Linked DNA regions of Caenorhabditis elegans. The protein of the gene in region 4 interacts with the protein of the main gene of each other region in a pairwise test. Each region holds a gene or a part of one and is shown on either strand. Other genes may lie near its edges. The genes, in order: ehbp-1, cnt-1, rme-4 and rab-35.

What was found.
Region 1: the proteins of rab-35 (region 4) and ehbp-1 interact in a two-hybrid assay, tested with the Caenorhabditis elegans proteins (one study listed by BioGRID).
Region 2: the proteins of rab-35 (region 4) and cnt-1 interact in a two-hybrid assay, tested with the Caenorhabditis elegans proteins (2 studies listed by BioGRID).
Region 3: the proteins of rab-35 (region 4) and rme-4 interact in a two-hybrid assay, tested with the Caenorhabditis elegans proteins (2 studies listed by BioGRID).

Annotation. Positions count from the first base shown.
Region 1 is NC_003283.11:9,548,822-9,556,553, forward strand, and holds ehbp-1 (EH domain-binding protein 1), read left to right. Parts: upstream 1-1,822; coding exon 1,823-1,897; intron 1,898-1,939; coding exon 1,940-2,004; intron 2,005-2,176; coding exon 2,177-2,631; intron 2,632-2,682; coding exon 2,683-2,811; intron 2,812-3,131; coding exon 3,132-3,351; intron 3,352-3,400; coding exon 3,401-4,088; intron 4,089-4,538; coding exon 4,539-4,704; intron 4,705-4,804; coding exon 4,805-4,882; intron 4,883-4,960; coding exon 4,961-5,020; intron 5,021-5,113; coding exon 5,114-5,175; intron 5,176-5,797; coding exon 5,798-5,917; intron 5,918-6,031; coding exon 6,032-6,187; intron 6,188-6,235; coding exon 6,236-6,549; intron 6,550-6,806; coding exon 6,807-6,924; 3' UTR 6,925-7,211; downstream 7,212-7,732. Other genes in the region: nstp-10 (GDP-fucose transporter), read right to left, coding at 33-87, 134-219, 989-1,015.
Region 2 is NC_003280.10:12,085,855-12,090,670, reverse strand, and holds the start of cnt-1 (Truncated cnt-1), read left to right. Parts: upstream 1-1,802; 5' UTR 1,803-1,809; coding exon 1,810-1,881; intron 1,882-1,926; coding exon 1,927-2,060; intron 2,061-2,198; coding exon 2,199-2,375; intron 2,376-3,029; coding exon 3,030-3,168; intron 3,169-4,050; coding exon 4,051-4,140; intron 4,141-4,816. UniProt on the Caenorhabditis elegans protein: GTPase-activating protein for the ADP ribosylation factor family. Regulates endosome recycling downstream of rab-10 and upstream of arf-6.
Region 3 is NC_003284.9:10,372,705-10,379,769, forward strand, and holds rme-4 (UDENN domain-containing protein), read right to left. Parts: upstream 5,066-7,065; 5' UTR 4,907-5,065; coding exon 4,887-4,906; intron 4,839-4,886; coding exon 4,680-4,838; intron 4,617-4,679; coding exon 4,500-4,616; intron 4,060-4,499; coding exon 3,891-4,059; intron 3,848-3,890; coding exon 3,618-3,847; intron 3,197-3,617; coding exon 3,094-3,196; intron 3,049-3,093; coding exon 2,713-3,048; intron 2,662-2,712; coding exon 2,566-2,661; intron 2,312-2,565; coding exon 2,258-2,311; intron 2,211-2,257; coding exon 2,082-2,210; intron 2,040-2,081; coding exon 1,867-2,039; intron 1,304-1,866; coding exon 898-1,303; 3' UTR 528-897; downstream 1-527.
Region 4 is NC_003281.10:11,306,141-11,313,506, reverse strand, and holds rab-35 (Ras-related protein Rab-35), read left to right. Parts: upstream 1-1,940; 5' UTR 1,941-1,960; coding exon 1,961-2,069; intron 2,070-2,843; coding exon 2,844-2,967; intron 2,968-3,480; coding exon 3,481-3,605; intron 3,606-4,812; coding exon 4,813-4,937; intron 4,938-6,483; coding exon 6,484-6,630; 3' UTR 6,631-6,860; downstream 6,861-7,366. Other genes in the region: teg-1 (GYF domain-containing protein), read left to right, coding at 676-810.

The DNA.
Region 1 (7,732 bases), on a different chromosome or scaffold from region 4:
AATTATTGATGTTCGAGAATTGAACAATTTACCTGCACACTAGACAGCAAATACTTGTTGAGAAACACTAATCCTATTGAGAAGACCCTGAAATTGGAAAATTTAGTTGAATAAAGAAACCTGAATAGCGTACCAATATGCTGAAACAGCTGTGATGACCTGCTTGTAACTCTCCCATTTGGTTGGATTCTCACGATTTCTCATAGCTTCGAAGAGGGCCTAAATTAGAATGAAACGTTTATGAATGGTAGTTAAGGCGGGAGGCAGGACAAACATAGAACGTGGAAAACGTAGAAATGGAAGAGGACGAGAAACAGGCAACACCCGACAACTAGGCCATTGTTGTCGAGTTAATTGCGGGCATTGCTGCCGCAGTTTCTGCTCGATTATTCAGCTTTCTAAGGTTTTAAAGAGTTTGAATTCGTATAAAAATTATTTATAATTAATTGAGACATTTGTAAAAGTTTAACAAAGGTGAAAAAGTAGTTTGTTCACAATAAAATTAACAATATCGTGAGTAATTCTTTACCTGCTTAAGAAATAATCAATATCGAAATCGGCTTTTAACTTTTTTAAAAATATAATTTAATTTTTTAATTTGTGAGAATACAAACGCATTTATGGAGGGAATTACCAAGGAAATAAAAGAAATAAAAGAAAAACCCCTCTGCAAAAATTATTTCGGAAAAAAAATGTTTTCAAACAGAATAACAATGTGCAAACACGGCCACGTCGAATTACACAATATTCTATTTACAGTAACGTGTCTGCGTTTTTGCGTGACTGTGAATGCAGACGCAAAAAGACGTAAACGTTTTTCACGGCCCGGCAAGTGGTACATCCATGCAAATGCGCTCTACTGATAATTGGAGTGTAGACCTCTCCAATTTTTTATATGCATCATAAAAAAATACCACTTCTCGGGCCGTGTTTTTTAGACCAATTTTTGAAAACGGTTTTTCAATATATTGTTGCAATAAATATCTACTTTGTTGTTTTCTTCATGCAGTTTCATCGTATTAAATTAATTTTTGTCAAACAATCACTGTGGTTATGCATATAGTTCTCGATCAAACCATTTATGTTCCTCACGTTTATTAAATATCGCATTTTCGATAGCTCCTCATGTTTTCTGAAAACGTTACTTAATGGTGTTTTCAGAATAAAAATTAACTTATTTATTCTGACTGCCATTTTTTGTTTATGGGAGAACACTTGAACTTCGACGGCGCGCTGAGCAGAGTTAGTGTAACGGGCGCTGGCAGCTGACTGATACATAACGACGAACACTCGAAAAGTAGCACTTGTAACTAAATGCTAAATCGAAAACCTACCGAGAGCGTGAGAGATGGCAAGAAGTGGCCATAAATCTTTGTATCGGCGGTCTCAAGTGACCAATCCAACTCGATCTAGTAACATTACACGATGCTCTACTGTCAGATTGTTTTTGTTATTCTCTCCTCTCCCTTTCAGTTTTACTAAATTTCTATTGTTCATTTTCTTTAAAATAATACAAATTCTTGTGAATCACTGGATAAAATAACATATTTCAGACCTTCTCTTTGGAGCTCCAAATGCTCTTTTCTTTTTACCTCTGTCACTCTCTTTTCCTTCTAGTCTATCGCCTCTCGCTCATTTTATCAAATCTTCTCGCCGCCGTTGTCGAATGAGGAGGAGGAAGACGGCTGCGCCCATTCCTCTCGGTTTCCGCCGCCTTTCCTTTCTTCTCATCTCCTCAAATATCCATTTCCGTACGACAAATCGAAAAGAAATTCTTCGCATTACGCACCTGATTACCATTGTTTTAACATATAAATTGCAGATGGCGGGTATTCTTCGTCGACTTCGGAGATCCAATAAGAAAGCTGCCAAATTTAGATTTACAGTTACTCTTCAGGTTCGTTCTTGATACTTTTATCTCAATTGTTTATTATTTTAGGAATTACATCTCTACACCGACGAACAATGGAAACCAGAAAACCTTGCAGTTTCTTTCGTTCATAGGTGAATACATTTTCTTATCAAAGAATAATAAATGTCAATCAGAAAATAGACACAATGCATCATGATCATTATGGAAATTTGAAAAAAAAAGAAAAATATTCACAAGAAAATAATACGAATCGAAAATAAATAAAAAATTGTTCATGAAACCTTTATCATACAATTTTTACAGACGACGAAAAGTATCATCAAAGGAACGAAAATGGGAAGAATGTTCGGACGCTAACAAATGTTTGATTATGTGGCCTGAGCAATTTTCAGAGAATATAGATATTCTTACAACATTATATCGTATTGCAAGTGATGAATATGAAGATAAAGAATGGACGATTGTTGTTGAAGAAGTAACTGCTAAAGGAAAAAGAAAAGCAATTGCAGCAGTGCCACTCAATGTTCGCTTATTTATTCTGGATCTACCCGATCATAAAAGTGAACTGAAGCTCAAGCTCCGTCCATTGACGCCTCATTTGAAATTGTGTTCCCTGATTATTCTTCTTGGAAGTTCTCTTATTTCGGAAGTAAATGCAGATGATGTTAGTATTACTTCGTCAGCTGCAGCCTCTTTTGTTGAAAAAGTTCCAGTAACAGATGAAGTTGATGCGAGTGCAAATGATTCCAGAGCAGCAGGTATTTTGATTGAAAAAATACAGTTTATTTCACATAATTTGTTTTTTTAAGCTGCAAGACAACAAATCGACACGACAGCTACAAAAATGATGGAATGGATCAAAGAGGAAAAGGAAATCGCTCCGCCTATTGTTCCAGCACACCGAAAACCTTCCGGAGAGAATGAAAACCCTGCAAAAGGTAATTAGAAATCGTTTTTTAAACCTAATCGTTAGAATTTTTGGCTAGAATATTTTCATGGAAAAAAGTCATATAGCCTAAATTCGTGTGTGGTCATCAAAAAATTTGTAGATTTTTTTCATTTTTTTTTCAAGGAACATCGAAAATCGAAAAAAAAATTCGAAAATTATCCAGAAAATGATATATCAAAATTTGTTTATGTTGATGAAGAAAAAGGATTAAAAAAACCAAAATAAATACTCGAAATTTTTTTTTTCAATTTTTCGGAAAACGAAAAATCGAAAAACCGACACCCGTGGCTCTTATAGAATGTATTTCAGTTCGTCCCCAATGGAGAGTATCAGCTGAAGAAGAAAAAACGTCACAACCAGCAGCTCCAGCGCCAATTGCAACCAACAGACATAGTCGGTCAAGCCGTGCTTCGACAGAAGAAAAAGCGTCTACAACAATAGAATTCCGTGTGGATTCCAATTCTCGGCATGTTCCAGTTACAGCAATCGCTACACCATATTATCTTCAAAGTGGAACAATGAGTAGAGGGTATTGTTTGGTTACTTTTCTCACAATCATAATTTTTTTTCAATTTCAGAAGATCAAATTCTCCGAGAGCTCCATCTAGAGATGCTGTCCCTCAACCGATCGATGGAGAGACTTTACTTTCATGGTGTCAGAGAGTTACTAACGGATATTCGCATGTAAAAGTTAATGATTTTATGAAATCTTGGAACAACGGATTGGCCTTGTGTGCAGTTCTTCATTCTTATCGCCCGGATCTCATTGGAGATTACGAAACACTGGATATCTCTAATAATATGTCTGGACGCATTTCGAATATTCAAAGAGCCCTCGATTCACTTACTTTGATAGGAATAACAGAAGTACCAACAGTTGATATGTTTCTGACTCCTGATCGGAAACAAATAGAATTTCTTCTTCAACATCTTCGCCGAATCTTTGAAGGATTTGACGAGGGATCTACACCAGCCAGTGCTTCTGATCACAGAATATCCAGAACATTTGGAATTAATGAATCCGAAGAAAAAGTTGTTGCCATGATTACAGAAATTCGAAATCAAAAAGATCTCGAAGAAGCTGTGGATTATAGACACATTCCTGATGAAGTTCCTGTTACACCACAGTTGGCTAGTCGCAATCCGGCTCTCAATCAACCAACTGACGCTGATGACGATGATGCTGAAACTTCAAATATGCGCTTTGAGAGAAGTAATGTAAGCATAACCATGGTGACTCCAGGAGTTGGAGCAATTCGTGCATCGGTGAGTTTTTATTGAAAAAAAAAATTTTAAAATTTTAAATATTTAGTTTTTGTTTTTTTGTTGAATTTCGAATTGAATAATGCTAATTATTTAAAATAGTTATTGAAATCTTTTTTCACTTCAATTCTACCATTTTTAAGATACTTTGTGTGTATAATATAACTGAAATTATAGGAAAAAAACAGGTTCTTTCAATCGTCAGATTTCTTGGTATATTTTCTTATTTTATTTTTTTAATGCAATTTATAAGGTTATACATAACTGAACATTTCCTACTACCATATAACAGCTTGATAAAAATTGCGACACAACTTAAAAAACTTATTAAATACTCGCCCTTATAAAACTCAATTACATTTGTTCCCAGCGAAATAGTCTAATCAATTCTTTTTCCTAATAGATATCCAATTTTACGAGATTCTTATTTTTGAAAATCTTTACAACTTTCAGAATCGTGCATCACCTTCAAAGCGAGATGAACTACGCCAAAGAGCACGTGATTTAATTGAAAAATCAACAACTCCTGCAGCAACACCAAATTCACGGAAAGCGAGTGATGAAGAGAGAAGACGCGAAGAGGTCAGACGGATGCTGAACGAAAAGCAGCATCCAACGGGTGAGAAGTTTTTAAAAACACAAAAGTTGTCGTGATTCTCTATAGTAATCTCCTTTGTTGTGATTGTTTTAATTATTTCTACCGTGTGTTCCCATTTCAGCAATCCCCTCTACTTCATCATCACCATATCCCACTTTCCGTCGTATCGATGGATCAAATACCGATCTTCGTCGTATTGGTTTGTAACATTTTCAGATCATGCTCCGATTTAATTGTTTTAGTGTTGTGACAAAGCATGTAGTGAATTTATTTTCAGAACTCGATGTACACAAGTTCAAGAAACGTGATCCATCTCCGACGCTCGTCCGCAAACAATGTACATTTTATTATTTCCTCATAGTGCAGTGATTTTTAACATGTCAATTGCATTATTAGGAACAATTTCATCTTAATTTTGTTTTAATTACAGACGATCCCAATGATACTCCTCATGTGCCAGCAATTGGTCGTGGCAGAACAAATGGAAATCGGGTCAGTCATTAATATATTTAAATTCTCGGCATTTCGTGCCTACTTTCTCCCACCTTTTCGCCTTCCGGCAAAAAGGTGGGAGAAAGAAGACGCGAAATGCCGAGTTAACAGTTTAATCCCGAATAGAGCATTATTGGCAACACCGATTCAGGAAAAATATGTGTACCTTTAAAGATACAGTTACTTCAAATCCTCGTTGGTGAGGTATTTTCATAGATTTTTCATAGTTTTTCGATAAAACTTTTTTTTTTATAAAAAACTAAAATAAAACAATAAAACACACATAAATTTAAAAAAAAACTATGAAGAATCGATGAAATATCGACAAATACGAGAGCTTGAAACCTTGCGTCAAGACCAGCTACCGTATATTTTGTCGCAAACTATTTTGTCAGTGTAATAAGTTGTCTGATTTTCAATTTTAAACATTTGAGTATTATTTTAAGCTTTAAATATGAATGTTGTCAATTAGCTGTCAATACCACTAGCAATCCTCATTTCTATCTAACCATAATTTTTCTTTCGTCGATATTATCTTTAGTTCTTCTCTGTTCTATATTTTCTTTTTTATCATACACCGCATTGTACAGTATGCCTAACAAGTGTTTTGCTCACATTTCAGAACGATTCATCAACTCCTTCATCAGCTTCTACATTTGATCGTGTCAAGAGATATGGGAGTATGCGTAGTGCAGAATTGAAAGAATCGTTGCAGTTGATGGCGAAACAATACGGATACATGGTTTGTGATGTTGTAAAAAGTGTAATGTAATGATTTTTGCTTCTATTTTAATCAACATAAAATTTAATCATGGGTGCAAATTGAAAGTTACCGTCTAAATGTTATTATTTTTAGGGAAACGATTTCGAATCATCTTCGCAAGACGCTCTGGCGACACCAACCAAAAAGTTCTCTTCCCAATGGGAAAAAGACGTCGATGACGTTGAAGGAACCGCCAATGAGCTTGTTCGTATTGACGAACGTATATCGGATATTACAGCACAAGCCGATGTAAGATTCTGAGAATTAAAGGATTAATTCAGTTTGTTTTGTTTTCAGGTTATTCAAGACAAGATCCGTGAAACAGAAGTTGGAAGTTCAGAAGAAGAAATGTTGACTGCATCATATCTTGAGTTGACAAATGAACGGAACACTCTTGTACATCGACAGGAATACTATAATATCATTGAGACAATTCGTCAGGTTACTTCGGAAATTGACCAATTGGGAAAACAAATCAATGAAGTTCCTGATGATTTCCCTCGTTCTGATGAGAATAAGACGGCAACGGATAAACTGATTGAACAATATAGTGATGCTATGAAAACAAAAAGTAACTTGGTTCAAAAGTTATTTGCAACTGAGGACGAAATGTAAGTGTTTATTGCTTTGTTGAACCACGTGGTGTCAGGCTGTCCCATCACGGTTTGATCTACAAAAAATGCTGGAATTTTTCGCCTAAGAAAGTGCCGTCAGCACGTTCTTAACCATGCGAAATCAGTTGAGAACTCTTCGTCTCAACTTCCGAATTTTTTGTAGATCTACGTAGATCAAACCGAATGGGACATTCTGACACCACGTAATAAACTACTTTCAGTGAAACTAATGAAACAACATTCGAAATTTTCAGCGAAGAAGATTCGGATCGTTTGAAGAACCTTACTTTGGATAGGGCTACTCGCTTTGTTCGTGGAATAGATCAGCCTGTTTCAGCATCGAAGCGACTTATTCAATGGTGGCGCCGTTAATACGCTTCAACGTTATTTATTACTCAATTTAAAACTACGGGTCTTCTTCTCTTTCTGAAAACAAAGTTTCTCCCAGTGTCCCTTTGTTATCTTCTATCATTTTTTCTCCTTTCCATAATTCACTCTTTCCCGTTTTTTTGGCAAATTTTTAGGAGTTAATCAAAACATCAAATTTTTCTCTATCTTTTCATCTCTATGTGTATATTTTTGTATTCAGTTTTCTTTTCTCTCGGTGCACACAAATCCAAATGCTTTCAGCTTTCAATAAATCAATTCAGAGTTTTAAATGATGTTCAGCAAAAATTCATTCGAAAAAAGAGGAAAGTGTGTGGAAGACTGGTGAAAAATACTTTACACGTGGAAATATTTAGCGTAGAGATCAAACAAGTGGGATAGGAAAAAGCAAGCTCGAATTGTGAGGGAATGTACTGAAAGAAAAAACAAATAAATTTGAGAAATTGAGTGATATGGTTAAAAAATGAATCGCATTTTGCAGGAAAAAATACTCGTATGCATTAATTTGAAGAAAAATAGATGAGAAGAATAAACTTAATATTGTACTCTCATATTACGAGAACACTAAATCCTGAGAAGGCGTATTGCGCAACATATTTGACGCGCAAAATATCTGACCGAAAACTACAGTAACTTTTTAAATGACTACTGTAGTGCTGGTGTCGATTTACGGGATCGATTTTCACTTATGTTCGAATTGCGACAGTGATATTCAGTTTTTCGTATTGTTTTGTCATTTTTGTGTTTCTTTTAATATTTAATCGATTAATAAAATGTTTCCGTAAATCGACAC
Region 2 (4,816 bases), on a different chromosome or scaffold from region 4:
TTGCCGGAAATTTCAATTCCGGCTGTTTGTCATTTTGCCGATTTGCAGGAAGTTTCAATTCTGGCAATTTGCCAATTTGTCGAAAACTTTCAATTCCGACAAGCTTGTCGATTATCCAGAAATTTCAATTCCGGAAATTTGTCGATTATCCAGAAATTTCAATTCCGGCAATTTGCCGATTTGCCGATTCGCCGGAAAATTCAATTCCGGTAATGTGCCGGTTTGCTGATTTGCCGATTAATTTTTGAGCTTTTTTGCAATGTTTCCAAGTCAAATAAAACATATTTTCAGATAAAAAAATTTTTTTATTTTATCACTAAATTTTGATGAAAAAAGTATTTTTTGTTGGATAATCACGTGGTGCCAGGCTGTCCCAACACGGTTTGATCTACAAAATTGCGGGAACTTTTCCCGCAAAAAATGTGACGTCAGCACGCTCTTAACCTTGCGAAGTCAGTTGAGAAGTCTGCGTTTCAACTCCCGCATTTTTTGTAGATCTGCGTAGATCAAACCGAAATAAGACTCTGGTACCACGTGTACATATGTGTAATGTTGTTGCATTGCAAAATTCCAATTTCCCCGTAACTCTTTCTCGTCTGCCTAGAAAAGCAAAGTAAGAGAATATTAAATTAGTTGCGCTCTCGGTGCCTCCCCTTCTCCTCCTCTCACCCAATTTCATTCTCAAGCTCTCTCCACAAAAAAAGAGTATTGAAAATCAAGAGAGTTCCTAGAGAAACAAGCAGTGAATGTTTATATACGACTGTCCTTTTTCTCCAAAAATTTCGTCCTTTTCTTCTTCCCCCCACAAACACAATGACCTCCGTCCGAAAAGTTGTCGCGATGTTCTTCTCCCGCCGTCTAACTGCCTGCGTCTCTTCTCTATTTCTCTCCCTCGTTTTCCTGTTCATCACCATCATCATCAGCGGCAGCCGTAGCGGCAAGAGAGAAGAAGAACCGGCTGTTTTTCTGTTTTTTTTTTCTGTTCTGAGGCTTTTGTTACGTGTCTTGGAATTTTTCTCTTTTTCCTTTATTGTGCGAGTGATATGGACTTTTGGTTTTCTTTAAAGGCGCATACGGAAGTTTAAGTTGTTGAAAAAAACATTTGAAAATGTTTTTTTTTTTAATTTCAAAAGCCACGTGGCATATTTACAGCCACTTATCAAAAAAAAAGTTTTTTTACCCAAAAATTGTTGGTCGTTTTTATAGGATTTTTTTTGCGAAATTTTGGAAATAAAATTAATTTTAAAATTTAAACTTAAAACTTTTATTTTAACATTGGGAAAATTTTGTTATTTTCCATAAGTTTCGATAATTTTTGTACAGAAAAATGGTGATAAAATTAGTTTTTCTTCTAAAAATCGGACTTTTCAGACTTTTTTGAATTTTTTTCAAGTGAAAAATTTAAGCAATTTTTTTAAAATCAAGACTGTTTTCAGTTTATTTTTCTATTTTTAGCTATTAAAAATGAAAATTTTCAAGAGAAAAATGTTTTTTTACCATTTTTTCGACATTTTTTCTATTAAAATTGCGTTTTTAAAAACCAAATTAATTAATTGATAAACATGTGCTGTCAATTTCAATGCCAAGTACGCAAACACCACAGCTGCACAGTACCAGATCTACCGTACTCTTCAATTAATTAATTGAAGAGTACGGTAGATCTTGTTCTGTGCACCTGTGGTGTTTGCATACTTGGCATTGAAATTGACGACGCAATATTATCAATTAATTATTTTTGATTATTTTTTCTCAATTTTCAGCCGAAAAAACTCAATTTCTTCGTATAAAATCGATAAATTTCCAGATTTTATGACAGTATCAAACAATGGAATGGCGATGCCGTCTGTTCCGCCAAAAATCGACTGCTCCGAGGCAATTCAGGTAGAAATTCCCTCAAAATACACCAAAAACCTAAAATTTTTGCAGGATTCTCCAAAATTCCGCGCAACAGTCGCTCAACATGCAATGTATTTTAATCGATTAGAGAATCGGCTCAACGAAATGCTCCGACACATCACTGCAATGATTGATTTCAGCAAAAATTATACGAACACGTTTTAGTACGTGAAAAAAATTCATTTTTGGGGTCTCGAAACGATTAAGCTTTCAGATTACTGTATTTTAAAGGCACATAGCGAAAAATAATCGTTTCAAAACCAAAAATTCAAATTTTCTCAAAAAATCCCCGTTTTTTCCAGCAAATTAACGGTTTCGGTGAATCAATTATGCGATGAAAGCTTCTCCGGCAATCCATTGGCGTCTACAACATTCCAAGGATTATCAGAAGCCTATGCACACACTGTTAACCTATTTCGCACGTATTTCGACCATTCAAATGTGGTCACTTTCACGAAACTGTCGAATTTCATTAAAATGTGAGATTTCCGGAGTTTTTTTTGGCGAAAAATCATAAAAATCGATAAATTCTGAGTTAAAAAGGCCGAAAATTACAAAATAACGAGTTTAAGCGAATTTAAATCAAAATTTCGTTTTACTTTAAATTTAGAGGTGAAAAATTCAAATTTCCCGCTGATTTACTAGATTATTCATTCTAGAGGTACAGAAAATTGACAAATTTGAACAATCGAAAATTTTAATTTTTTTTGAACTAAAGGTATTTGGATTGAGCTAAAAATTTTAAAAAAATTTTTGAGCCAGAAAACTTCAAAAAAATTTCTATATTGGAAAAAATTAATTAATTAATTAATTAAATAAATTAAAATTCCTGTAAAAAAATTTGCAAAAAAATAGGCAAAACTCGATTTTTTCTCGGGTTTTTTGGTAATTTTTCAAAAAAAAAATCTTTTTTGAAAAGTTGAATTTCCCGCCAAATTAAAAAAAAAATCAATTTTACGTATAAAACAATATAAGGCAATTTTTTTCGAAAAATAATAAATTTCCAGCCAAAATTCAAGTGTTTTTAACCAAAAATCGCATAATTCACAACAGAAAATTGAAAATTCAATTAAAAATTAGATTTTTCGAAATAAAAAAAATTCAAAAATGTTTCCTCTAAAATCTAATTTAAGTGAGCTCACAAAAGTGGCAGAATCCCGTGCACATTTTGAGAATATGTCCCAATCAATGGATGATGCATTAGTCAAAAATGCGAGTATTTCAAGGCAAAAGCCTGCAGATGCGACAGAAGGGCGAAATGCACTTACTGCGGTGAGTTTTTTGAATTTTCAACGAAAAATATTCGAAATTCTCGATAAAAAACCAAAAAAAAATTCATCCAAATTTTTGAAAAAAATTTCTTTCTAAAAATAGGTATTGTACTGAAATTTTTTTTTACAAATTAAAAAACAGATATCTTTTTTTCGCCAAAAAAATTACTTAGTGATTTTTTTTTGTAAATTTTTAAAATTTTTTCTTCGAGAAATATAAAAATCGTAAATTAATTTTTGCAACAAAAATTATTGATTCATCAAAAAAATGTTAACTTTACTGAAATTTTTTTTTTAAATTTAATTTTTCGAAAAACTAAAAAAAACAGAGAAAAAAACCTAATTCAAAATCGACTTTCTTGAAAAATGCCCATTTTTACTGAAAAGAAATTTAAAAACATTTCTTTTGTAATTTTTTAAAGATTTATATTTTTCGAGAAATATAAAAATCGTTAAAGCGAACAATCAATTTTTTGAAAAAAGAAATATTGATTTATCAAAAAAAGCCGATTTTACAGTAAAAAAAATTCCAAATATATTATCTTCTTTTTTATTTTTTTCAAGATTATTTTATTTTTCGAGAAATTGTTAAAATAAATAATTGATTAATTTTTGGATAAAAATTTAATAATGTTACTGAAAAAAAAAGAATTTTCTGAAAAAAAAAGTCTATTTTTTAAACAATAAATCGAAAAATTTAAAAATGTTCTTAACAAAATCAAAATTTCTGGTTATATAAAACATTCAATTTTGTCGTTTTTTTTTTTGCTTCACCTTAAATAGTTTCTCACAAAGCGTCTCAATTGCAAGAAAAACCACTCAAAAACCCTTAAACAAATAAAAACATTTTTTTTTTCAAACCAAGAAACCCGCTCTTTTCCAGGTCGGCACTTGCTTCGCACACACCACACTCGACTACGTGGCAAATATTAATATTGCACATGCACACAAGGACCATATGATTCTCGATGCGGTTCGTTTTGAATTTTGAAAATTGTTGGTTAAAAAAATTAGAAATTCCCTCGGCTAATGTGAGAGTTATCACATAAAATAACGGAAACTTTTTTTTTCCAAAAATTTGAAAAAAATTCAAAATATTTTATTTTTAGCTGTAAGAGTTTTAGAAAGATCAATTTCTTGATTTTTTGCTCAAAAATTTAAGAATTTATAAATTTTTTTGTAGCCGTTTAACATTTTACTTTTGCCAAAAAAAAACATTAAAATAAAATTTTTAAAAAAATTTTAACTAAAAATTCAAAATATTTTATTTTAAACTGTAATGCATTAGAACTTTGTTAAAAAATTTGTTTTTGAATTTTTAAACTCAAAAACTTGAGAGTTTTGAAATTTTAAATTTTGCGAAAAAGCCCGAAATAAATTTTTTTAAAAGTTTTTTGACTCAAAAATTACAAAATTTCTCAATTTTTAGCAGTTTCGCATTATAATTTTTCACTAAAAATTTCAAAAAAACTTTTTTCCACTGTAGTTATAGTTTTGGTAAAAAAAAATCAAAAATAATTTTTTTCCCGTTTTTTACTCAAAAATTAAAAAAAAACATCTCAATATTAGCCATTTTCCTTTGAATTTTTCTTATTAAAATATTCAAAAACTTCCAACTTTTAGCCGTTTAGCATTCTAAATTTGGTAAA
Region 3 (7,065 bases), on a different chromosome or scaffold from region 4:
CGTAGGAAAAAGAGAAATAATATAGAAATCATTGAGTGAGAGAAGCTAGACGGTCGCAAAAGGCAGCAGACGGCAGGGGCCCCAGGAAGGGGAAGAGCGGAGGAGACGAGGACGGCCATCTGTTAATATGCAGGAGAAATAGTGTTATGATGCAGGGTAGTCGTAGATACGTTTGGTTCACTTTTCCAATATATTGTAAATACTGTGAAAATTGTCAAAGCATAATATTTTTTCCATTTAAAATTATGGGATATTTTCCAAAGTCTCAAAAGTTTTATAGCGCCAGTTGGGATAACTTTTTTGAAATCTAAAAAAAACGATTTTATCCTTTCAACTGAATTATTTTTGTCACAAAAGATCTATTTCAAATATTTACCGTATTGACGCTACTCCATTCAAAAATTAAAACAAAAAAAATTAAATGGAAGCTGTCCAGTATATTGTAGTTTTTAAGTACTTTCGATAGATGCTAAAATAAGTGAGTAAATTGAAATAAATTGAAATAATAACATAAACTGAATGAAAAGTCACCCAACATTATTGTTTATTCCAAACCAGAAAAATAAATAAATATATACTTTTGACAAGAAAAAGTTAGAATGCCGGCATTCGATGACAATTTGATTTGACAAGTTCCTTTGGATTTTTGAAAAATATATACTTAAACAAAATGAATAAAATGACTGAATTATCGTTGTGACTTCAGTCTCGCAGGAGTACAAGGAACAAACGATTAAAAAATATGAGAATATGGAAAAACAAAATAATTTGACTAGTGGGAAGGGGGAAAGAAATGGGTTAAATTTATGAAAGTAACCATACGACTCTAGCCATAGAAACTCAAATTTCATACACATAAATAATTTGTTTTTCATTTTGTTATCACATGATTGTATTCTACTCGAAAGTTTCCCATTTGCTCCGAACCGGAGGAGGGGGGACTCGTATTGCTGAACTAGTGGCAAAAGCAGTTGCTGGTTGCCCTGACGATGTGCTCGATGGGCCAACTGATGCAGGTCGTCGGGGAGGTAGCGGCGGAGGAGCATACCAATCGGGTGCAGATGGGTTCATCGCTGATGGTACGCTTCCTACTTGGCTGACTTGTGCCCACTGATGGCTTTGTTGAAAATGGAGTAGGTGAGGTGCTGATGATCCACTTGGAGAGATTGACTGGACCGATGAGCCAGGAATCATGCGAGGATGTAGAGGTGGTGGGGGTCGAGAGGGCAATGGAGGCGCCGAGCCTTCTGGTGACGTCGCAAATGGGTCGGCAAATACGTTTCCTATTGCTCCAGATGGCGACCTGAACATTTGTAAAATAATTAACTGATTTGCGAATAACATAGTAACAGATTTGGTTTTCAAATTACCAGGTTTTGGCAATACATACATGTTTTATATCTTGATCAAGATTACTATACAAAATGTACCAGCATGTACAAGCACCAGCATTTCAAGCACCAGCTTGAAATGAAATTTTTTTTAATTCTTTTTAGTTATGAAACTATTTTTGAAACGGTGTTAGAAAACCAAATCATCAGAAGTTATCAAATGCATTAGACTTCTCATTGGACACACTGCAATTTTTTTGATCCTCGTTATATTTGAACAAAGTATGATTTTTGTTTATAAGGCGACATTACTTTTTATTCTACATATAAGCAATTATGAGATTTCCGAGCGTTTCCAAAATACTTCTACCTAGACAGAAACAGCCAGAAGCTTATAGATTAAAAGTGGATTAAACTCAGGCAGGCGCACAACGAACAGATAATTGTTGGTTGCCAGAAAAATAGAGCGAAAAAGTTCTACAAAGAGCCACAGCGTTATACTTTTTCTGGGTTGATTATTTGATCAAATACTCACTTGCGGTTGTTAGTTGCAAGTTCGGAGGGACGAAGAAAGTACTGTTCATCCACTGATGTAAGCCCAGACGCAGAACTTGTAGAAGGTTCATCCAAATCAATGAGGTTGGCTACTGGAACATTGTCCATCCTTGTTTCCACCGGGAAGCCCTCGTTTTCGTCACTTTTCTGGAACTATTCAAAAATATTAATACATTCTGTTATTTTCTAACAAACCGTTGCATCCCATTGTAGGTTATCAAAAGACATTGGCGACTGCTCAAATCCATTTTGATTGTGTGCTTTTTTTCTTGCCGCTGCTTTTCGTATTTCCCGAGGCGTTAGTTTCTGGAGACGATTTGCAATCTAGAAATTTGAATGTTTCAAATAACTTAAAATGGGTTGAAAAATACTTGTATTCCAGAAGTTTTCAATGCTCCGATGACGTCATTGGCATTCTCCTTGACCTGGAAAATCTTTTCAATTGCATTAAAAATTAGATGCCGAACAAGTTAGAAAATTTTTCAAAAGTCATGCACTTGGTTAAACTGAAAATCAAGTTGCTGAGATACTGTTTGACAACACGAATCTTACTGATTGCACCGTAGTATGCACCATTGGCTCATGATGATTTAGCTGAATGTTGGAATATGTCCGCACACTCGACGAGTTAACGTCATTGCGTTATACAAGCTATGATAACATTTGCTTCATCACTTACCGGCCGGTTTTTCAGATCCATCTGTTCGATTTCAATTTCGAACTGGTCTCCTGGCACGTGTCCGTCTTTGTACAATTCTAATCGGTCGTGGATGAACTAAAATATTTAATTATTGCGACTTATCAATATGCTTGTGCGGAAACTCACTCTTTCTAGGTACTGCACACCATCCGCACCTAATAGTGATGATACGTATGCTTGGTAGGATGGTTTTTGTTGCACCACAAACCGCTCTTTGGAAAAAACCAGAGTTTCAGGCGTATCACCAGTAAATCCACTTGTGTAGTCACCAAACAGCATAACCATAGCTCGTAAGAAGTGCTTTGCAAAAGTGTCATCCATTGCTGACTGCGACCGAAGTTGTGCTTTCAAAAAGTTTACAACTTCTTGAGGCATTGCTGCTACATCATCGAATGGGCTTGTTAACGTCTTCTCGTCAATATCAACAATCACCACTTCGCCGATGTCTCTTATATTCAGCCTCTTAAATAAAATACAATATTGGGACATCTATTCGAATTCACAAACCGCATTTTCCAAAACAGTTTTTGGAACGCCTATCAAGTATGGCATTGGTGCCATTACCATGTCGACGAGAGACTCGGGAAGAATTGTGATAAAAACTGATTGCCTGAAATATACATTGAAGTACATTTTAGAAAATTTAATAGCTTTTCAATAAGCGTCCTCATCATTGAGTTCAGAATTTTTGTTCCTAAAACTATGATTAAATACAGTCGCAAGACCAAATGTTTCGTGATGTTAATGTTGAATTCAAATTTTTCACCAAGTACTTTCAAGATTGTTTAAGAGAAACTTGAATTCTATGTATATGCATCACTAAATAATATAACAAGTTATCTTATACTGTATACCCTTTTACATTGCTTTTGATTTTTATTTCTTAACCACGATTTCTTATTACGTGGTATTACGTACTTTGTTTTAGTTTCTTAGTTATCTCAGAACTGCTATCACAGAACTGCGATTGCAATGCCTCTTGCTACCAATATTTATGTAAACATTTTTGTTAGAAATTTTATATTACTCACCAACACATTGGGTAGAGAAGCATCGAGACCGCATGGAGACATGAACTCAACGATCCAACTTTCCGCCCAGTAAACAGAATACGACGTTCTTTCAGTAGACTTGCAAAGATTGCTAACATCTGCCGAGGGTCGATGGCGTTGTAGAACTCGAGGAAAAACTTATCCGAGCCAAGAGTTGGTAATCGCGTGTGATCGGGAATTTTTTCAGCAAACACTACTCGATAGTTGTGCTGAGAAAATATTGCACATTTAGATATAAACTAAGGTTCTTACTCCATCTGTTTGATTACTATCAGCAAATCGTAAATATTCGTCAATATTTGGAATATCTGTGTGATAGAATTTGGTGAGCACTGATTCAACATCTTCCCTTTGCGCTGAACCTATCACCAAAGAAATATCGTTAAGAGCTTTGAAGAAGACATTTGGCCAGAAGAATCCACTGTAAAATATTCATATTTTTAAAGAGACATTTTTCTGACTACTTCTCTACTCTTTTCTACCGCCTTTTTTTAAAGCATATTTTAGTTCCAAGCAAACGGTTTTGTATTTTTTTTTAAGTTCTTGTGATAATAATGTTCACCATCACAAATCGTTTTCTTTTTTAAAATATTGCAATCATATTCGTCATCCTATCCTACGCGTTTAACATTCTTTTCATTTTTTCGCATCACACAACAACAACAACAGTTAAAAGTCACAAGAAAAAACGAACTCTGTTTTGTTCTTTTTTTCGTTAACGTTTTTGCAAGAGTTTATTTAAAAGGAATAGAAAAGAAAACGAAATATGATACTTCTCCTCTGCTCTTCAGGACTCATTTTCCCATGACAAAACCAAACGACGGCTATTTGTCAAAAGTAATGATGGAAAATCACTCTCACCTCAAGAAGCAGATGCACGTGTCGGTTCTTGGTGTATAACGGCAAAATCCAAACGAGAATTTGGAGTTCGAATCGGTTAGAACAAAACTGAATAATTGCACTGCGTCGACTTCTACTCTGAAATATTATAAAAACATTTTAATTCCATACCAATTTAGTTTTTTTTTAACAATTACGTACTCTCGTAGTTGACATGGAAATGCAAACTGTTGAACACTTTTCACAATAGCTGGATCGTGGAAATCGTCGGGATACTGGAGTCTTAAAATAGCAAGCTTTTCGCCAGGTTTCGGGGCATCAAGTTCGCAGAAGACGTCGTACAGGGTGGCCACGTCAGCTCTGAAAATATATTCTAAAAATGGATTGAACATTTCACAACAATCTCACCTGTATCTTCCATAGGTCATATGTGAAAAATTAAAGCCAATTGGGAGATGGAACCAACGGCAGAGAAGAGATCTAGAGATCGAAGACAATTGTTAAATTGAATTGAAGGTTAGCTTCAGCCACCCAACTGGGAACAAACGGACTGAAAACTGCTGGGCGGCGACAGCAGGAAACACTTGCAATATTACAATAAAAAGAACGGAAAACGAAAACTGCGTTAAAAGAAGACTGCTGGCGCGTTTCTCTTTGTGAATTCAGCTGACACGCGACTGAACGACAAAAAGAGGAGGGCGAGGAGAGACTACAGCAATAGAAGAGAAGGAAAAGAAACATGGAAAAAATGAAGAGCGAACAAGGCGTGAGAATGAATGGGATAAAATTAGTGACATAAATTTAGAAATAGAGGATGGAGTAAAGAAGAAAAATGGGTGCTGCCACCAAAAGCATCACATAAGAATCAAGAAATGTTACTATTCAGACTACTGGGTAACAATACCAAGAAAAAAAGAAACATGTGTCTTTTTTTTTAGTATCGCGCAGTCCTGTGACGGATGAGGAAAATAGAGCTGTCAAATGGAATGAGAAATGGGCTGTTGAAAAGGAGAAAACAGAATACTGAATTTCGTTGTGTTTTTCAGAATTTGATAACATACAGAGTTTAACTGTAGGCTACTTTGTGTATTTTAAATTACATATTTTTAGGGGTTTCAAGTTAAAAAGCGGATTTGTAGATTTTTGTTTTTTTGTTTTTTTGTTCGTTTTGTTCAAATTTTTGATCAAATTTTCGTTAGTTTTGAATATTATATCAAACTGCTAAACTTGGAAACATTGAAGTTCAAAAAAAATGGGAACATAAAATTTATTGGTTAAAGAAACAAATACTTTTGACTCAATAAAAGTATTTTCTTAAATAAATTCCGCTACCTATCTATTTTAAAACAATAAGGCTTTCAAACATGTTTTGCTTGCTTTTCTCATTGTTGATATTTTCTATGTTAACGTTACATAAATTTGACGGTCCTAATGAGCAATCTTTTTTTCATAAATGCCAGAAAACTTAACTTCCAAAAGCCGAACTCTATCTGCAAAAACTGAACAGTTTGTTGTCATCTAATGTTTTTTTTCTGGAAGAAAAAGAGTCTAGTCACTGATAGGAATGAAAAGACGCAGAGAATGTGCATGCACAGTTTGTAGAGGGATAAGACTGCAATCTATTTCTGACATTGCAAGCGAGAGAACGTTGTGCTCATATAATAAGAGAGAAATAGCCCATCTAAGCGATTTGTACGAGAAAAAAGTGAAGAAGTTTAAGAAACATGGACATATGATTTTGAATGTCTATGCAAAAAACGACTTATCAAGTCAAATTTATTGTAAAATTTACTTTTCAAATTAAAAGAAAAATAACCTAGAAAACTACAAAAATGCGAATTAAAAAAGTTCACTTCAAATCGGGACGAGTTTATGTAGTGCGTATTTCCCGCCGTCAGGTGGGGACACTGTGCAATGAAAAGAGGAGGAAAGATAGACGAAATGAATAAACACAGTGACGAATCGATAAATGCTACGAGAGTCTGAATGGTCTTGTTACGACAATAGAACGCCTTGCTCACCCTTTCCTTCTTCAAATGACATCTATAGTACCTGCTGAGAAGACTTACCACCGGCTTGTGTTCCACGTTCTGTTTGTTACTCACAATTGCTAAGCAACATGATGCTTTGTCTTGGAAATGGGACCGTGAGAGCTGTCCCTGGAAACCAGAAATTCAGGAGTAGTAGTGGAAAGTTGAATAGTTTTTTTTAGTGTGGGGTACGAAATACAAAATACAATTTCAAGTTTCCAAAAATTCAAAAATAAGAGAATACTGGTTAAAATGTATAAGTCCCAAACTACAATTTCACTACAAACCGAATAATTAGATTTTCGTGCAATGAATAAACACAAAAATTGTGGTGATATTTCCTTGTTAAAAACAAAATTAATTTGAAAATGTTTCTTCATATGAGTAAGACAAAAATTGGTGTAAAGATAACAGTAAAAACTCACCAAGGATAATTCTCTCCAATTAATGTGCAATGAAAAATAAAACTTTTTGATTGTTAAAAAAGAAATAAAAATGTTTATTCGGTCAAATAAATTAAAGTAAAATAGAAGGTGAATCAATTAATGAAGTTCAAA
Region 4 (7,366 bases):
AAAGTAAAAAAAAGAATTTTTTTGAATAAAAATCGGATAAACTTGGTTTTTGAACTTAAACATATTTATTCGGAAAATTCTCGAAAATTTTCAATTTTATTGCATTTTTAGAAGAAAAACATTAAAAATTATCTGAAAATTCACAATTCAGTCAAGACAAAGTCAAAATGCCTGAATTTTTGGTAATTTTGAGTTGAAAAATTGTTGAAAAATTGTCGGAAATTCTCGATTTTATACCGAAAAATCCTAATTTTTCAGCGAAAAAACGGACGATTTTGGCGAAATTCGTGTTAACAAAATAGTTTTTTTTTTTTTAAATGAAGAATTGATTTTTTTAAACCAATTTTTTGGGATATAATCAGAATAGCCTATTTTTAGCAAAAACTTTGAACATTTCCATGAAAATTTGGTGAAAAATGTCAAAAATAGCCAATTTTTATCCAGAAATCGAAAAAATTCAATTTTTGTTAGGTTTAGACCCGTTTTAATCGAAATAGTTTTTTCTTATTAAAATTCACGCTGAAAAATCCGGCAAATCGCCGGTTTGCCGAAAATGTGTTCGAAAAATAAATTAAAATATGTCAAAAAAATTTCAAAAATTTTTTTTTGAAAATTCTGAAATTTTTTTTAATGAAAAAAAGTCTCAAAAAAAGTAAAAATTTTTTCCAATTCCAGGGCCCGATTCCGACTTCAGAAATGATGGATCGCCAATCAAAAGGACTTCTTTCGGCAGAAGGTGTTGCCAGACGTTCTGGAACAAATGGACATTTTAATCCAGTTGCCAGAATTGATTTCGAGCTTTATTTGTAAAAACTCTCCTAAAAAACCTCTCCTCCTCCTCCCCTGAATTTTAGCAATTATATGATTCATATTTCATTTTTTTTTGTTTCATTTTCATTTTTTCCCCCATTTTTTTTTGTTTCTCTGAATCTCGTTTTCACTCTCTATCTCTCTCTCATCACTTAGAACACACATTCATTTCTCTCACTTTTTCCGCCTGAAAACAGCTGAAAAAAAGTCGGAAAAATGATTCGGTGCCGAAAACTTTTCAAATACCGAAAACTCGCTATTCAACATGATATTTATCACAGTTCCGATGACATTTCTCGAGGTTTTTTCAATTTTTTTTTGTAAATTAAATTTTTTTTTTCCCGTTTTTTTTTTGCCCTTTTTGGTCCTAAAATTGCATTTTTTTTCAAGTTTTTAACTTGAAAATTCATTTTTTTGGCCTATTTTCGCCCCTAAAACTGCACTGTATTATATAAAATCCCCAATTTTTTCCTTTTTTAAAAAAGCTTTTTTTTTTAAGATTTTACGGTTCCAAAAGCCGCTAAGTTTCTGCTGAATTTTCTGGGAAATTTCTAGATTTTACATTAAAAAACAAATTTTTTTTAAAATTCTAAATTTTAAACTTCGCTAAATTTCTAAATTTTGGTGTAAAAAATTAGAAGACAAATTTTTTTTTAACCGGTCATTTTCCGAAAATGAAACCTCTGGTAATTTGCCGGTTTGAATATTTCCGGCAAATCGATAAATTGCCGGATTTTAATATTTCCGGCAAATCGATAAATTGCCGGATTTTAGTATTTCCGGCAAATCTACAGTTTGCCGGTTTGAATATTTTCGGCAAATCTGCAACTTGCCGGATTTGAATATTTCCGGCAAATCGATAAATTGCCGGATTTTAATATTTCCGGCAAATCTGCAATTTGCCGGATTTGAATATTTCCGGCAAATCGGTAAATTGCCGGAAAATCCAGTTTTTTGCCGGAATTGAAAATATTTTTTAAAAAATTTTCAAGTGTAATTTTTATTTCATTTTAACTAGAAACTCTAGTTATAAACTAGAAAATGTAATTTTTGTCTAGAAAAAACCGGAAAATCCGAAAAATTCACGAATTTCCTAGAGAATTTTGAAAAAAAAAACCCCCAATTTCCAGGCTTCTGCAACCCAACATCAATGGCGGGAACTCGGGATTACGATCATTTGTTCAAATTGCTGATTATTGGAGATTCGGGTGTCGGAAAGAGCAGCTTGTTGCTCCGTTTTGCAGATAACACCTTCTCTGGTTAGGCATCAAATTTTCTAAGGGAGAAAAATTCAGATTTTCCATTAAAAAAATTTTATTTAAAGAAAACTCAGTTTTGACCCAAATTTCCCAAGAAAATCGGGAAATTGGACAGAAAAACGGCAAAAAACCAATTATTACAAATAATTTTTGTTTTAAAAATAAATTTTTTCTAAAACTTTTGGGTCAAAAATTTGTTTTGTCCGATTTTTATTTAAAAAAATGAATTTTTCCATCGAAATTCTGATTTATCCGATTTTTATATTTGAAAAAATAATATTTTTTGCTTAGAAAATCAGTTTTGAACTCAATTTTCCCATGAAAATCGCGAAATTAAACAGAAAACTTTGAAAAACGCAATTTTTTGCTGAAAGTAGTCAAAAACCTGTATTGCGCGGCTACAAAAATTCTGAGAATGCGTATTGTGCAACATATTTGACGCGCAAAATATAACTATATCTCGTAGCGAAAACTACAGTAATCCTTTAAATGACTACTGTACCGCTTGTGTCGATTTACGGGATCTCGATTTTTTGAAATGAAGTAAATTATTTATTTATCAAAATTAATAAGAAGCAAAAACGAAAATAAATCGAGCCCGTAAATCGACACAAGCGCTACAGTAGTCATTTAAAGGATTACTGTAGTTTTCGCTACGAGATATAGTTTTATTTTGCGCGTCAAATATGTTGTGCAATACCCATTCTCAGAATTTTGTGTTCCTATAATACTGAAAATAGCAATTTTACCAATAAAAAAAATTTTTTTTTGCAGAAAACTACATTACCACAATCGGCGTCGACTTTAAAATTCGTACAATGGATATTAATGGACAACGTGTCAAACTTCAGATTTGGGATACTGCCGGGCAAGAGAGATTCCGTACAATTACATCGACGTATGGCGGAAAACTTTTTTTTTTTTTTCAAAAAAAAAATTTGAAAAAATTGCAATATTTTATCACATTTTTGTTTGCAGAAAAAAGCCCAAAATTTGTGGTTTTTTTTTTTTTTTTTTTTGAAAATCAAAAAACTTTGTGGGAATTTTCAAAATTTAAAATTTCTATGAATTTCAGAGACAAATTTGGAGGAAAATTTCCGATTTTCCGGAAAATCGAAATATCTTCAACTTAAAATTCAATTTTTATCGAGTTTTGTATATATTTTAATGAATAAATTGGAAAATTATAAAAATCTCAAATTTTATCGAATTTTTGTTAAATTTCGTTGAAAAAGTAGAAAATTTACCAAAATTTTGAGATACTTTTAATGGAAAATCGAAAATTTTTTATTTTTTCGAAAAAACGAAAAACTTTTGTGGAAAATTGATACAATTTATTTAAAAATCGAAAATTTTTAGTTTTAGTTTTTTTCAATTTTAGTTAATATTAAAAAATTAACGATTTTTGCAGTTACTACCGCGGAACACACGGAGTCGTTGTCGTCTATGACGTCACAAATGGAGAATCTTTCGGAAATGTGAAACGGTGGTTGCAGGAGATTGAGAATAATTGTGATTCGGTTCAGAAGGTTCTTGGTAAGGAGCAGAAGCAGCTTTTCAGCTGAGCTAAAAAAAATTTTAAAATTACGATTTTCCTCCTTTTTTTTGAAAAGTTGAAAAAAAATGGAAATAAAAGGGTAATTTAACTCAATATCACTATAACTTTTTCCTCACGAGGGACGAGGAAAAGTGGTTTCTAGGCCATGGCCGAGGGGCCGACAAGTTTCAGCGGCCATTTATCTTGCTTTGTTTTCCGCCTGTTTTCTTTCGTTTTTCACAGCTTTTTCCCGTTTTTTCTTTTTCTTCTTTTTTTCTTCTTTTCGTTTTTTCTATCTGATGAATAAATACTTTTTGCAGATGCTAAAACAATTTCCAAGTAAAAAAATTATGTATTCAGTGGGCAAGCAGCGGTGAAAGTGGTCACTGCAATATGATGGATTACGGGAATACAAAACCTAAAATTTTTCTGAAACATGATAAATATGATGCTTAGATGCTGAAATTACCTGATTTTCATAACGAGACCGCTGAAAAAGTTTTGAGGTTTCCAAAATTCAACTTTTTTGGTGAAAAAGTAGAGATTTTCGTACAAAAAGTTGAATTTTGAAAACCTCAAAACTTTTTCAGCAGTCTCGTTATGAAAATCAGGTAGTTTCAGCATTTAAGCAGCATATGTATCATGTTTCAGAAAAAGTTTAGGTTTTGTATTCCCGTAATCCATCATATTACAATGCCCACTTTCACCGCTGCTTGCCCACTGAATACATAATTTTTTTACTTGGAAATTGTTTTAGCATCTGCAAAAAATATTTATTTATCAGTTTTAATAAGAAAAAACGGGAAAAAGCTGTGAAAAACAAAAGAAAACAGGCGGAAAACAAAGCAAGATAAATGGCCGCTGAAACTTGTCGGCCCCTCGGCCATGGCCTAGAAACCACTTTTCCTCGTCTCTCGTGAGGAAAAAGTTGCAGTGATCAATTTTCATAGTTTTTCGCGTTTTTTTTTTTGAGAAATTTGGAGAAATTTTGACAATTTTCCACATTTTTCAAGGTTTTTTTTTGAAGAAAATTACAAAAAATTAACACTAAAAAGTTCCGAAAATGATGATTTTTTTTAAATCTAATTTTTTTTTCAATTTTTTAATTAAAATTAACATTATTTAGAGATATTTTTCAAAAAAACCTTTAATTTTTTTCCGTATTGATTTTTTTTTTCAAAAATAAACAAATAATTCCGTTTTCAGTCGGCAATAAATGCGAAGAAAACGAGCGTCGAGTGGTTTTGGAGAGTGATGCACGTAATTATGCTCAATCGATGAATATCTCGTTTTTTGAGACTTCTGCCAAAGAGGACAAGAATGTCGAACCGGTAAGAACGAAGAAAATATTGAATTTGGGAATAAAAATACATTTATAGTTGAAAGTGGCAAATTACAAAAAAAATTAAATTTTAGAATTTTTCGGTTTAAAAAAATATAACAAAATATATTTTTCCGAAAAAATGTTTAAATATGATTTTTTTTTTAATTTTGGAAAAACCAATAAAAATGGCAGAATTTTTTTTTTGAATTCCCGCTGATAGTGAAACTTTATTCTTCAATTGTTCAGACATCATTCTGTAATGAAAACTTGGTAATAGGAAATAAGTTTGCTGAAGCTGCTCAACAATTAACTTAAAGGTGGGGTACCGAAATTTGAGACTTTACTTTTTCAGATCCAAAATGGCCCAAAACTACCGAATTTCGTAATGAGACGTTCTGAAAAGTTTTCAAAAAAAAGGTATGGCGGCTCAAAGTTTTGGAAAAAATGGCCTATTTTTAGCTAAAATCTTAAATTTTGGCAACTTATCGGTGTCGCATCGGTTGAGACGTAATTTTTATTTGATTACCATTTTTTAATGCATGTTTTGGCATTTTATTAGGTGTTGTTTCGTCGATTGAGATGTTTTTTTGGCCAAAAATATGATACAATTTTGAGTCCCCCTTGGCCAAAAAAACATCACAATCAACGAAACAACACCTAATAAAATGCCAAAACATGCATTAAAAAATGGTAATCAAATAAAAATTAAGTTCCAACCGATGCGACACCGAAAAGTTGCCAAAATTTGAGATTTAAGCTAAAAATAGGCCATTTTTTTCCAAAACTTTGAGCGGCCATAGCTGTTTTTTTGAAAAATTTTCAGAACGTCTCATTACAAAATTCGGTAGTTTTGGGCCATTTTGGGTCTTAAAAAGCAAAGTCTCAAATTTCGGTACCTCGCCTTTAAAGGTGGTGAAATTTTTTAAATTGTTTTAATAGACTCAAAATTGTCTGAAAACACCGAATTTCATAATGAAACTTCTTGAAAAATTCTCAAAAAAAAGTTATGACGACGGCTCAAAAAGTGGCCTAAATTTAGTTGAAATTTGAAATTTGACTTGTCAAGCGGCTGGAAACTAACTTTTTTGAAATTACCGTCAAATTGTGAGTATACAATGTAATTATCTTGCGTTTTCAACTTGATTTAGGTTTTTTAAAGTCGATGGACGGCGAGATTTGGTTAAAAAAATTAAAAATCTCGCCGTCCATCGACTTTAAAATACCTAAATCAAGTTTAAAACGCAAGATAATTACATTGTATACTCAAAATTTGACGGTGATTTCAAAAAAGTTAGTTTCCAGCCGCTTGACAAGTCAAATTTCAAATTTCAACTAAATTTAGGCCACTTTTTGAGCCGTCGTCATAACTTTTTTTTGAGAATTTTTCAAAAAGTTTCATTATGAAATTCGGTGTTTTCAGACAATTCCGAGTCTAATAAAGCAATAAAAAAAATTCGAAAAGCGTAAGGATTGGAATAATTCAAAAAATGTTTTTTTTTCATAGAGTTTCAGTAAAATTTTCAGAAAAATTAATTTTTTCCCCATTTTTTCAGATGTTCACATGCATCACGAGCCTCGTTCTGACCGCCAAACTCGCAAATCCCCAGTCGGCTTCAAAGGATCAGAGCCGCACGGGCGGTGTATCTCTCAAGGACAATTCAGGAAGCACCAATCAGAAAAAGAAGTGCAAATGTGGATAAATTTTTCGTTTTTTTTTTTAATTTCTCTCACCATCATTCTCTATATTGTTTCACTTTGTACTATCATCAAAAATCGCAAAATTCTCGAATTTCCCCTCCCCTCTCCCCTGCCTTCCCGCATGTGCATATACAACAGTTTTATTCCCAATTTCCAAATCGATCGACTGCTTTTTTTTTTGGCTTTCTATCTGTTTTCCCCTCCTTCCTAAATTACTAAAATATTTAACTTTTTGACGAATTCTTTTCAGGAAATTGTTTTAAAATCCAAAAAAAGAAAGCTAATTTTGTGATATTTAATTTAGAGAAAAATTTAGTTGAAAAAAAAAAATAAAACTAATTTTTTTTTAAATACTAATTTTTGTTGAAAATTCCCATAACTTCATAATTTTTCCTTTAAAAAAATTTGGAAGATTATATATTTTTTAAAGTTCTAAAAAAAACCTTAAATATTTTAAAATTCTAATTTTTCCTAAATATTTTTGTTTGAAAATTAATTTTTTTTCGTACAAAATTTGATAGAAATTCCGAAATTTTCACTTAAAAAAATTAAAATTTTCTCTCACTAATTTTGGCCAATTTCAGAATTTTTTCGAAAAATCACCACTTTTTGTTTAAAAAAAACTCAATTTTTTCCAATTTCTTTGCCTAAATTTTCTAGAAAAATTCCCATTTTACAAATTTATCCAGAGGAATGGATTTTCAATTAAAATCTTGAAAAAAACTAAAAAGTAGAGAA